Drosophila melanogaster: one gene and its partner. The gene in region 1 interacts genetically with each later gene. Each region holds a gene or a part of one and is shown on either strand. Other genes may lie near its edges.

What was found. Genes that interact genetically often act in the same process or in processes that back each other up.
Region 2: of GlyRS (region 1) and CG15599, changing one enhances a phenotype caused by changing the other (phenotypic enhancement), as found in Drosophila melanogaster (one study listed by BioGRID).

What each region holds. Positions count from the first base shown.
Region 1 is NT_037436.4:15,093,394-15,098,931, reverse strand, and holds GlyRS (Glycyl-tRNA synthetase), read right to left. Parts: upstream 3,791-5,538; 5' UTR 3,671-3,790; coding exon 1,373-3,670; 3' UTR 1,246-1,372; downstream 1-1,245. Other genes in the region: Ctps (CTP synthase), read right to left, coding at 416-581. UniProt on the Drosophila melanogaster protein: Catalyzes the ATP-dependent ligation of glycine to the 3'-end of its cognate tRNA, via the formation of an aminoacyl-adenylate intermediate (Gly-AMP).
Region 2 is NC_004354.4:15,683,918-15,690,947, reverse strand, and holds CG15599 (uncharacterized protein), read left to right. Parts: upstream 1-2,090; 5' UTR 2,091-2,158; coding exon 2,159-2,185; intron 2,186-2,244; coding exon 2,245-3,297; intron 3,298-3,379; coding exon 3,380-3,919; intron 3,920-3,997; coding exon 3,998-5,812; 3' UTR 5,813-6,001; downstream 6,002-7,030.

The DNA.
Region 1 (5,538 bases):
GTAAAATTTAGTTTCACTTTACATTTATTATTGAATAATTATTATTATATATTATTGTCTTTATAGATTTGAAAAGTTTTCCCATATCGTAAGTGATGTATTGTTACTTTATTTATTTGTTATTAAACGTTTGTTTTTGCTCAGATTATTTATTTTGGCGGGAGAGCGCCACACCGCTCTCTCCTTTTCCGTCACCTCACACCATGTGGTTATAACCAGACGCGTGGCTTTACAACAACAATAGTCTTACAACAATAGATGCACATACTGACACTCGCCGCACACTTACACTCGCACAGATGGGCAAAATATTGAAAAATTGCCAAAATAAGAGACCAGACATTTTTCGAATGTCGAAAGCAAGACATACTATAGACACCATATAAAATAATGGGAAGACCTCTTGAAAACTCACCATGCTCATAAGGCGAAAAGGTTCCAGCATCTATATTGATATAGGGGTCAATCTTGATCGAGGTTACATCCAGACCACAGGATTTCAAAAGCGTTCCGAACGAGGAGGCAATCACTCCTTTTCCCACGCCACTAATGACGCCACCAGTTACCAGGATGTATTTCATCCTTTCGTCTCGAATGTCAATCTTTGGGATCACCAAATGTGGAGGATTATCGTGTTATCGGTTCAATTCGCGGTGGACACTCAATCTGAGGCAATCCGAGCCACAATTTATTGTTTATTTGCCTTTGCTGCACGTGGTTTTAGAAATTGGATTCGTTTAATATCTCATACGTATTTATGGTATGACCACCGCTCATTTCATTGAGAATACCAGTGACTCACCGTGTGTTGTTAAACGTCACAAAAACCGCGCGGTTTCCTATGCATTAAAATTGAGTTCCCGCAAAAATAAACAAGAATCAAATGTAATTTTAGCATAGCAGTGAGGACTGGTTACATATTTATTTGGAAACTTGCGATTTAAATCTAAAGAAAAAATGGCCTATAATTCGTATTACTTTCCCTTGTTTATATTTTTACTCTTTGTGTATAGTTTGCGTTTTTAAAAGGAATTTCACGTTTTATATTACCAATTTTAAGTGTAAATAAATCATAATATCCGGTAAATTTGAATTGTCATAGATCCAAACAACTTTAAATGTGCATATTTAAAATTATATTAAATAATTTAAAAAGAAATTTCACCGAGAAAAAATATTTTTTGAAAATAAACATCAAATTCATATTGAAGATAAACACACTCCCATTTCAAAGCGCAAAGCATTAAATGTTGCATATTTATTGAATTTTATAAGAAATTATTGAATTATTGAATTTTATTTATACAAAAATAAGAAAACTTTGAAACTCTGTAAATGCGTGCCAAGCGAAAGAAACTCCTTGATCAACCAGTTACTTGCTGGCCTCCTGCTGTTCGAACAGAGGATACTGTTCGGTGACACTCTCCCAGGTGGTTCTCGCCGTCGACAAGTCCTTGACGACGCCCACAACCTCCTCCAGACCGACGCGCACCTGTTTCATAGTATTCCGATCTCGCAGAGTCACCGTATGCGGTTCCTTTAGAGTGTCGAAGTCCACGGTGATGCCATAGGGTATGGCAATCTCATCCGTGCGGGCATACCGCCTGCCAATGGATCCACTGGAGTCGTCCACCTTGTGCGAAAGTTCCGCCTTGGTCAGGGCAGAAGACAGTTTCTGAGTATAAGGTTGAAAGTCGGTGTTGTTGGACAGCGGAAGGATGGAGCACTTGATGGGCGCCACCAGAGGCGGTAGCGTAAAGTAGCACCGCTGCTCGTCGCCGTCGCGGCATTGGAAACTGTGCTCCAACAGGGAGTACATGATGCGACCAATGCCGAATGAAGGCTCAACCACACTCGGGATGAACTCCTCCACATGGACCGTTTTCGTAGAGTGCTTAACGCTGATGGTGTCCTTTCCGAGATCGTGGCTTTGGCCATCGGCCGTGGTCAGTTTGTATTGACCATCGCCAGCCAGCTGTTCCTCTACCTTGGTTATCTCCTCCAGCGAAAGCTTAGCCAACGCATCCGTGATGTTCTTTGCCTCCTTCTTGAAGGTCTTTCCGAGAGCCTGCTTGTTTGGCACAATCTCGCTGACCTCGACCGTTTTGGGAGCCGGCAGACGCTTCTCGGCCACCAAACGCACACCTGTGGCGGCCGTATGCTGTCCCAAATCGTAGGCACTGCGATCCGCACATCCTACGCACTCCACCCATCCGTAGGAGGTAAGAATTTCGGCATCCCAGCAATCGCATGCATAGTGAGCCATCTCATTGGACATGTGCTGCCGGAATCGCAAGCACTCCGGTTTGATACCAATGGCCAACAGGAACTGCTGAATGCGGGCCATATAGTAACCAAGTGTCTCATTAGCCACCAGTTTGGATGCCACTGCTTCGCCGATTTGCACCTGAGCGGCAGACTTTCCATCCATCTGGTTGCACGCCGAGTAAAGGGTCAACTTTTCCGATTTGATGTTGCCAAATTTGGGATGGTCCTTGAGCACGGGATCACAGAAATGTTCAATCTCTGCCATGGTGAACTCTCGCACACGGATCAATCCCGATCGGGGTGAGATTTCATTGCGGAAGGAGTTGCCAATTTGAGCCACAGCGAAGGGAAGCTTGCCTTGATTGAATTCCAGCAGTCGCTTGAAGTTGACGAAGATACCCTGGGCAGTTTCGGGCCGCAGGAATCCCTTGACCAAGCCAGTGGGTCCAATTTGGGTGGCAAACATCAGGTTGAACTCAATCGGTTCTGTTAAATCATTGCCGGTTAATGGAGATTTGATGTTGTATTTGGCCAGGACACCAGCCAATTCCTGTTTGTTCAGGCCATCCAGTTTAATGATAATATCCTCACACTCGGCCTGCAGGGCGGGAGTTGCATCCTTGGCCTTAGATAGCTTTTCCAAAGCCTGCTTAATGAGATGATCCAGGCGGAAGCACTCGCCGGTCTTGACATCCTTGACCATCAGATCAGCGAAACGCTCCACATGACCAGAGGCTTTGAGCACAGGTTCGGGAGTCAGAATAGAGCAGTCCACCTCCAGCATTTGCTCTTCGAGGGCGAAATACTGACGCCATAGGGCCAGAATGTTGGACTTGAGGGCACAGCCCATGGGTCCAAAATCGTACTGGCCGGTGATGCCGCCATAAATTGCGAAACTCTGGTCGTAGAAGAAGCGACGCTTGAGTAGATCCTCCATCTTCGCGCGATCGAAACTAACGACACTGGGGGTCAGGGCGAGCTCTTTGTCCTCCAGCAGCTTCTTGCGTGCCTTCAGCTCGGCTACTGCCTTTTTCACATCGATCTCGGGGGCACCCTTCGCCTTGAGATCCCTCACCAGGTTACCCTGCTCCTGAACTCGTTCCCTCAATGGGGCAAGTTGAGCCTCAATCTCGGGATTCGACATGATGAACTCGGCAGCGGCGGATCTTAGTTTTACCTTTCTATTTTGCTTCTTGGTGCCCCAACTTGTGGTTGCAGCTGGCTGCTGCGGTTGCGTTGGTGGAGGTGGTGGTGGTGCGGAGGGAGTAGGTTTTGTGGTAGTGGTGCTAAAAAACACTTTCGTGGCAATGTGCTCGCTCCACGTTGTTCTTGCAATCTGAGTTCTCACGGCTGTGGTGGCGCTGCGCAGGTGGGGTAGCGCTTTTAACAACTGCAATGACATAAAGAGGCTTTTATTTTTTCAGCCGAAAAACGCGAATTTATGTAATAAACCGTCCAATTGGCTACTGCTGCAATACCTTCACTTTCGGCTGCAATTTCGACTTGGATGAGTCTTAGTCGGCCGGCTTGCAGCACTGTCTTTGCACAACACTGATTATGGTTAACAGAGCTGCTCAGTGATGCGCAATGTTGCGACTTTGGTAAATGTTATTTGTTTTTATTGTTTTATATTTATTTTTTATTTGCTATATTTGGTAAATGTGTCTTGGATAGTTTGGTTTCAACATAGTTTCAACATATTCTTTCATCTTTACTTATAGTTGAATAAGCGATGGAATTATTATTTAATAATATTAAAAAATTAATTAAATTTAAAAACAATGCTCTGATAAAATTAAGGTATCCCAAAATCACTGTTACCGTGTCGGCAACATTGATCACTTGTCCCTAACAGGGCGGCTGATAATAACAGCACCTTATGATGTTTTTCAGCACTCCAGTACATCGATATCGGGTAGGGCCTTCTTCGTTATCGATATGTTTAGTTTTTGTTTTAATTATGTAGGCGCAGCATTGCAGTCTGGTTTTTCCCATATAATTTGCTCAATTTTGGTTTAGTTCGGCCGAACTCAAGTGCTGCCCAAACCAATTGCTCAAACGCGTAGCGCACAAATTGAAAAACAAGCGGTTAATGTGAAAAACAGGACGAGTTTAGTTGTTTTCTATCCGAGGGGACGCGGCGTTGCAACAACAGCGACGCTATGCGACCGCATTTCGAGCGATAAAACAGAAAGGTGTGCTTCTCTCTCCCTCTCTCGGCACTCTCTCACCTGAGCTGCTAATACAAATGTTGTTTTCCTGCCAATTTTCCGAAATCTTTATTGCAAACACTTAAAAAATTAACTCATTCACAGGCGCTGCCACACATAACGGTTGATGTTTGTTTTTACGACAACGCACACACACGTACACCGGCCAAAGAGGCAGCGGTCACAACAACAAAGGTCTTCGTTCGGTGAGTTGCGAGTTGTTTTTGTTTAACCGTTTTTCGTTCTTGACCTGTTTTTGTTGTTGTCTTGTTGTTTTCTTTTTTTTTATGAGTGGGCCAATCGATCTGTATAAAGTATGCATTATAATTTATTTATTAGTCATAAGCGTAGTTTGTTATTGTACGTGTATGTGTGCACACCATTTTACATCATTTAACATGCACAGTGGAGGTTCTTTAATTAGAAACCAACCCCCACGATGAAAATTATTAAGAATGCGGAGAAAAAACCAGTTTGGTTCCTCTCAGCGAGCATCCACTGTAGGCGCACTTAATTCAACGACTTTTGCACGTTTGATATTAAGTCATCGCCGGCCACGAAGGCCAAACTCAAGACTGTACGAAACAAAACCAAAAAAATGTTCAAAAACACGGACACAACAAACCTAACAACACCTCATCGGGATGCTCTATGTTTTGGGTTAAAGTTCTGGCCATTTTTTTGAGAGGGTTCGCTTCAAGGTTTACTGTGGTTGTGGTGCGTGATGAAACGGGTTGGAAATCGGAAGCAAACAAAAACTAAGTCTGTACATACAACAAAAAGCATTAATATCCTAATAAACTAGTGCACGTCTCTAATTCAAAATGCTAACTCTGAACGAAATCATCCAGGGGTATTCGACAGCTCTGATACAATAAGAATTTATACAGTATATTTGAAAATAATTCAGATAGTTTTCGTAGACTAACTAAGAAAAATCAGCTTCTGAGTTACAGACTCATTCTGTTATATTTTCTTTCTTGTTTCAAAATGTTAAAAAAAAAATGTAGCAAACAAAAATGGAATGGTTAAAGTTTTGTATCAGAGTGGGGTGAATACC
Region 2 (7,030 bases), on another chromosome or scaffold:
TAATAGTAAACTTCGTCCTCAGGTTCCACATCATTCTCTTCGGATTCCTCGTCGACATCTGCCATTAGTAGCGGCGGATCATCGTTGATGCAAGCCATTACTATGCGAAAGTATGCAGTTAGGTTATCATGGTTATCATGGTACTGATCTATGTGTATTAGCATATGTACATACCTGAATAGTTATACCAGACGTCTGGAATCCGCTCTACTCTCATTCTGAATGGTGGACTTTGTAGAGATAGTTGAAACTTAACCAGTTCTGCAATACGGATATACATACTAAGTATATTAAGTAACTATATTAAATATTACCATATTAATATTAAGCTAGGTATTAAGTGTATATTACTCCACCCAAACTTCGAGATATTCAAAAATATCCATTTTTGGGCGTAGAACCGATAAACTGATGACTTTTTAGTTAAACAAACATACATATTTATAGGTCGATCCACCTTTGCACGCCATATGGAGGATACCCGCCGTTTAGGTCCTCGACAGAGCGGGGTCGGTTGAATGGTAATTTCCCATAATTGGGTCTGGGTCACAATTAGCGACGCCTGGACATGGGTCATCATCATGCGAACGCTTGGTGGTGGGCACCTACGAGTACGAAGGAAAATGGAAAATCCTGTCCCGTGCGCCGCGGGCTAATCAATTACGCAACCTTTAAGAAAAGCGCGCAAGGCCCCCCTCCTTCCCCCCACCGTCCATCCAACATTCAGCGCCCGATAACTTCTACATTTTATTCACATTTAATTGCAGCCCAGGACATTCATTTTTCTGAACCTGATCACGACCGACGCTGTCAAACGGTTGACAAACTTCCCCGGGGATGACATGTGATGTGATGTAACGGGGCTGGGCTAGGATTCAGTCGTCCCCGAACCACGGGAACCAGAAATTCCGAGGCCCATGCCGGAATCTACATACATACACACACGCATACATATATACATACATATGTATCGTAATTTACATTTTCTAACCCTTTTCTTTGTCTAATCACGTAGAAAGTCGCGGCGTCTTCCACGCCTTGCGGTTCCATTGTCATCTCGCTCGCACTTGCATTCTATCTGTAGCTGTATATGTGCCATTTCGGCAGGGATCGTGCCCTCGCACTCGCACCCCTGTGCTTTGCCGTAGAAATTCCGATTTTTGTCGGCCTTCTTTTTGCTCCGTTTTTGCCGGATTTTATTTGGGTAATTTTCTTTTCAATTAAATATGCAAATGCGAGCGTTAAACGTTTAGTTCTTAAGGCGTTTGTTGGTGTCATTTGGATATTTTTAGGGTCCCAAAGGCCAAAGGAATACAACAAATCTACAAAAATCTTGCAAAAACGCCGGCAACATCGCAAGTTATTTGCGGTAAACTGAAGAAACCATGTGCACATTTTCATGTTTTCGACACTTACCGCAAGAAAAGGATTCTTCAAACTCTGTGCTAGACACTTCTTATATAAAGATTTAAAAAAAAATAACAATTAAAAAAATAGCTTTGACTAGTAAGAAACAAAAAAGTTTGCGACTGCTCTTAAGGACAACTTAGTTGAAAAGAACACGAAAGTGTGAAGTAGAAAGGGTGAAGGGGAAGAGCACTTGACTGAGATGCCACTTGACCTTAAGGACTGCTCTATACGTGCACATTAATTATGCAATCACGACACTATCGGTTAACAACACTTATCTCGTGATCTACAAGTTCCGATCCAGAACTACTTAATGTGTTTTAAGGGTTTACTGTAATTATGTAATGTATAAACAAAGTTCAATTTTATTAAAAATATGACAACCAACATTCAATTACAACGAACAAAAAAACTTATAAGAATAATCAAAGAAATATTATTTTATCATCCATATAATTTCGCCTTTATTTAATAAAAAAGAAATGTTAATCTGTTCAAGATTGCACGGATATACGGCACTCAACGAACACAATTGCCAAAATAAATAATAGTTCAACTTTTTGCAATGTGTTCAACGCAATTGTAGCTTACTGTAGATCAACGTTTTAAAACACTGCAATGCGTTGCCACCTGTGTCACTTTTACCTCGTGGACTTGACAGTTCAATGACATTCAATTCCTTTTTCCGGAAACTTTAGCGCAGTCAAGTCATCTAATGCACCCTCCGGCGAGTTTTCTGAATAACAAGATGAGAAGTCCAGCGTTTAATCCAAACGTAATTACCAATTTAATTGTTTAAGTGCACGTTAAGAGAATGTGGCCATTAAATTCCAGGCAAATCGGCGAAATCCACCAAGTCCGCAACCGCACGTTGATGAAAATCGCCATGAGCATGGACGCGTGCGCAATCAGCGGCAGGCGCCCCGCCCAAGATTCCACCAACCATCACATGTGAATGTTTCAGCAATTTATTTGCCATTGTACTCCGTGCCAAGTACGCCGACTACCACCCCTGCGCGTTTTGGGGACACGCAGGGCTTTTACCGCAACGGCTGTTGGTACAATAGCGAATTCAATCGGGAGCCAATATCGGCTAATAATCAGCAATTGTATCTACTGGTATATGTGCCATCAGACACCAATATCCAGCCTGTTCAAATCATACGGCAGGTGCCTCCGATTCAAGGGTCATCACCACCACAACCACAACCGCAGCCACAACCAACGGCGCCACCAACACCACCACCACCACCACCCCAGTTTGTGGTAAACCGTCCCCGTGGGCCGGTGAATTATGTTATGACCGCGCAGCCGCCACAGGGCAGCCGCCCTGTGTATGCACAGTATCCACAGGCACAGCCAATGTACGCAATGCCAAGAGCTACTGTGCCATCGATTCCAGAAGTCCAGACACTACCACACCAAGCCCCGTCACAATATCGACCGACTCAAATTGATGTTGCTCCAAGGATGATGCACCGAGGGGTTCAGGTACCCCCACACTGTCGGCGACCATCATTTAGACAGCCGTTACGGCAAAATCCAGCACCACAAACTATAGGACATGCTCCATCACGGATGCATTTACCAGGCGCTGGAGGCCACAACCTTCCATCCCAGAATCTCTCAACAAATCGTCCAACTCCACTTAACCCTTGTAAGGGGCAATCCGATCCTGCTCCAGTGCAGATGTCTCCTCAAGTCCAGGTACCACACTGCATTATGGCCACGGTGGAGCCCGAGGTGGCAGTATCCAGATTGAACGGTCCAAGTGGAACCATTGATTCTGATCGTCCAGCCCAAGCTGTTACAGTTGTCGAGCGTCAGAAACATACTTACGAGTCCGATGTATCAATGGAGGAGCCAGTGATCAAGGCGGTCCAAAATGTGAGTACAAATAAATAAATAAAATCGTATAAGATATGAGTATATATGTGTGTAATCTTAAATATATGACATGGTTTTATAGCATATGCCGCAAAGCCATTTAGTGCCACCCGTAATTGTAGCCCAACCAGACAATGTTGTAGTCAATGATGCTAATGGTACACAAATGCCGGTTGATCCACCACCAACTGGAGCTACCATTGTGGCTCTTGCCAAGGAAAATGATTCAAATTCGATTGCAAACTCTGTCTTGGTGCATTGTGCTAATGTTAATGAGGCTAAAAAGCCTCAGAAGGAGATTGCTAATAGTTCAGTTGTAAAACAGCAGGAGGTTATGGTTATGCAAACGGAACAGCTCAAATCTCCGAAACCCAAGCTAAAGAATATTCAGCAGTCAAAGATTCCAATCGCTGATACAACACCAGAAGCGGAAACTGAGCAACCCACTATCACTGACCATCCGAAGCCAATTGACCAGGCACATGCCATCAACACCTTGCCGGAGCAGGTACCACAGCCAACGAACACCAATGCAAGCCGTTCATCTGTAAAACAAACTACGCTGGATATTATCTGTGCAAACATGAAAGCATTACGAATTTCGGAGTCGCCCAAAAGCAATGTAAGCTTTAACACAAAATATGTCTAATCACTAGCTTCTCTACATACATGTAATGCTACGTACATAATTGTTTTTCAGACGCCGAAGAATCCAAAGGTCTATATGAATCATTGGCCCCCATTGGCTGCCAAAAAGGATCATGTCAGTAATTCATTTAACTCGAACGATACGCCACCGAAAAGCCATACAGCGGAGGAGCAATCAGTAGCATCTGTTTTGAAAATCGCTAAAAATCGCCAACAGCAATCAGGATTAGTTAGTTCATTGAACTCAAATGCTGATCATAAGATGACTCAAAAATCTGATGACAAAAAGACACCAGATAACGATTCAAAGCGTCGATCAATGGCCACAGAAAAACGCAATTCTGCTCTACCATCGATAAACAAAAACAAACGGTCATACGATAAAGTTATACAACCAAATCCACCAAGGACCTTGGTCCTGCACAATTCGCCTCGGTCGCCAGCGAGTTCCCAATTCACGCCTGTGGTGGTCAAAAAACGTAATATTTCTGGGCCATCGCAGAGAGAAAAGAATGTGCTCAATGAAAATGTTTTGAAACCACCAGTGTTTAAAAAACCCTTAGGGCACAATAATGTGCAGCCAAAAAAGCCATTTGTTGATTTGAAAACTCTAGGGACGAACATGTTTGACCTTCTGGTAGAGCCGGATAAGGAGGATGACAACGGCGAGAACACTAATGAGCAAGATGATCCGTCCATCGACGATGTTAGTACTCCATCAAAGCGTTCCAAATCGCAGAAGGAGAAGAGGCGCTTCAAGAAACAAAAGACGGCCCTTGAAAAGCAGATCAAACTCACGAAGTTGGCCCAAAAGGAGGCGAAGCGTGCCGAAAAAGCAAAGGAAAAGGCCAAGAACTCGAATGGGAAAAACGCGTTGGCTATTCAATCCAATTCAACCGAACAACCGGCTAACCAAACCGTTTCGGGTGGCATACTTGGGAACTTGGCTCAAGAAACCAAATTCTTTTATCAACTGACCGATGTGCTGGGAACTCCTTCGCCATCTCAACCAGGAGCTCCTCCGTCGCCAAGTGTTTCCCGTTCGGAAGTGAACATCAAAGCGCGCAGGAAGAAGCAGCCCATGAAGTTGAGCACATTCTTATCGGCTGTGAATCATGCCGCATTGAAAAGAAATCCCCATGTTTCCGCAAAAAGCAATCTGTTCGAGCGCAGATCATATGGAATTAACAAAGAAACACCAACCCAAACAAGTACAGATTCCGCTGCAGGAGCTCCTTTTCGTTTCAACGCAGCAGAGTCAATGCCGATATCCAAGCCCGCTGCAGAAGTTCCTTCGCGTTCCAACGCATTAGATGCTGTACTCAAGATGGCAACGCCGATATCCAATCCGCTGCCAAAACCGTCCCTATGGTTGCCATATAATGTGCGACCAGCGGCATCGATGGCCAAGGATAATTTCAAACTAAATCGAGATGTGGTGAGCTCATCCGAATCACCATCATTGCAAATCGATATGGCCAAGCAAAATGCTGATAAGCTGGCATCAGCATCTTCATCTCCATCTCCATCCCCATCCCCATCCCCATCTCTATCTCCATCTCCATCTTCATCTTCATCTTCATCTTCATCTTCATCTTCATCTCCATCTTCATCTTCATCTTCATCTCCATCTCCATCTCTATCTTTATCTCTATCTCCATCTTTATCTCTATCTCCATCTCTATCTCCATCTCTATCTCTATCTCCATCTCTATCTCTATCTCTATCTCTATCACCATCTCCATCTTCATCTTCATCAGGAACAGCACCAGCAACCCTTCAAAATAATGTATGGAATTTTAATTCCAGTCCTGGCGAAGTTATTAGCTTGCCACTCAGCAAGCATGCTGAAGATCCCGACCAGTAAACCAGGAGAGAATCCATCAAAAGAATCCACCCGAAACCAAAAGAAGACTGTCAAATCATAAATACCTCGTCATGGTATTATAAAAGCATTTCGAATATCAAACAATATTTGTGATCGAATTCGAAGTCATCACTAGTCACCGTCACCTTTGACCACCATTTACACACTGTGTTTTGTAAATTTACACACATTTTGATAAAATAAAAGTTTCTATAAAACTATATCTAAACTCGTTCTGCTAATCTACTTAAAAACCCCCCTGGTGGTGGTAGTCCAAGTTTAGCATTGGCGAAGGTGTGAGTTTCCACGACTAGGATTTGGTGAGATAATGCACTCAACTGACAACTGCTCGATGAACTCATCTCGTTTGGCCTAATCTCTTTCAGATCTCGTCCGGTTCCATCCAAAACGAATGCCGATTGCAATGCTTCTTAGGCTAGGAGCTTAGCCGCAGTTTGAACTAATTAAGTGTCGAAAGGATTACCAACGCCTACCCGTCGTGTGTTGTGATTTACGAGTCGAACTGGCCAACTAACTACCTGCACAACTGGGTGCTACCTGTACAGGTATCCTCATTAGCATGAGACGACGGCGACACCGTAGGAGGTGGCATCTAATGCGACTGAGTCGTGTGCCATTCCATTCACAGAGTTCCATTCATGGACAGCGTATGTAGAATTGATAATCCCATTCCATTCTAAATTTTAAGTTCTTAGTTCTTAGTTCCGAATCCAAATCCAAATACCCATCCCATTTGGCTTAGCAGTTGCTTTCGTATTGCAGGCGAATTCTGCAATCCATACGAAATCCTTTCGCCCGTTGCACAATGTCCCTTCGAAATCTCTGATGCAGCTGCTCCAGTTGAATGTGAATGGTCGGGTGTGGGTGACATTTGCATCTGTGGCCCAAGACGACGATCCCTAAGACACTCTAAGCCAAATGGATGGGTCGCATTGTGTATTGTCTACTCGTTTCTTCCCTCTTTTTGTCCATTCAACCAGCTGGTCTCGTCGCCAGTTGAATTGACAATTGAAAGATGCACCCATTTCGTCTCGAAGCAGTTCTTATCCAGAACCGAAAATCGGGATTTATACACATTATAATAATAATAATCATAGTAAGAGATTTAGATACTGATGTGACACATACTGAATGGGTGTGCTTTTATGAATCCAGTATGAAGATTTTGTTATTTTTTTTTTGAATCTTTAAGATTGC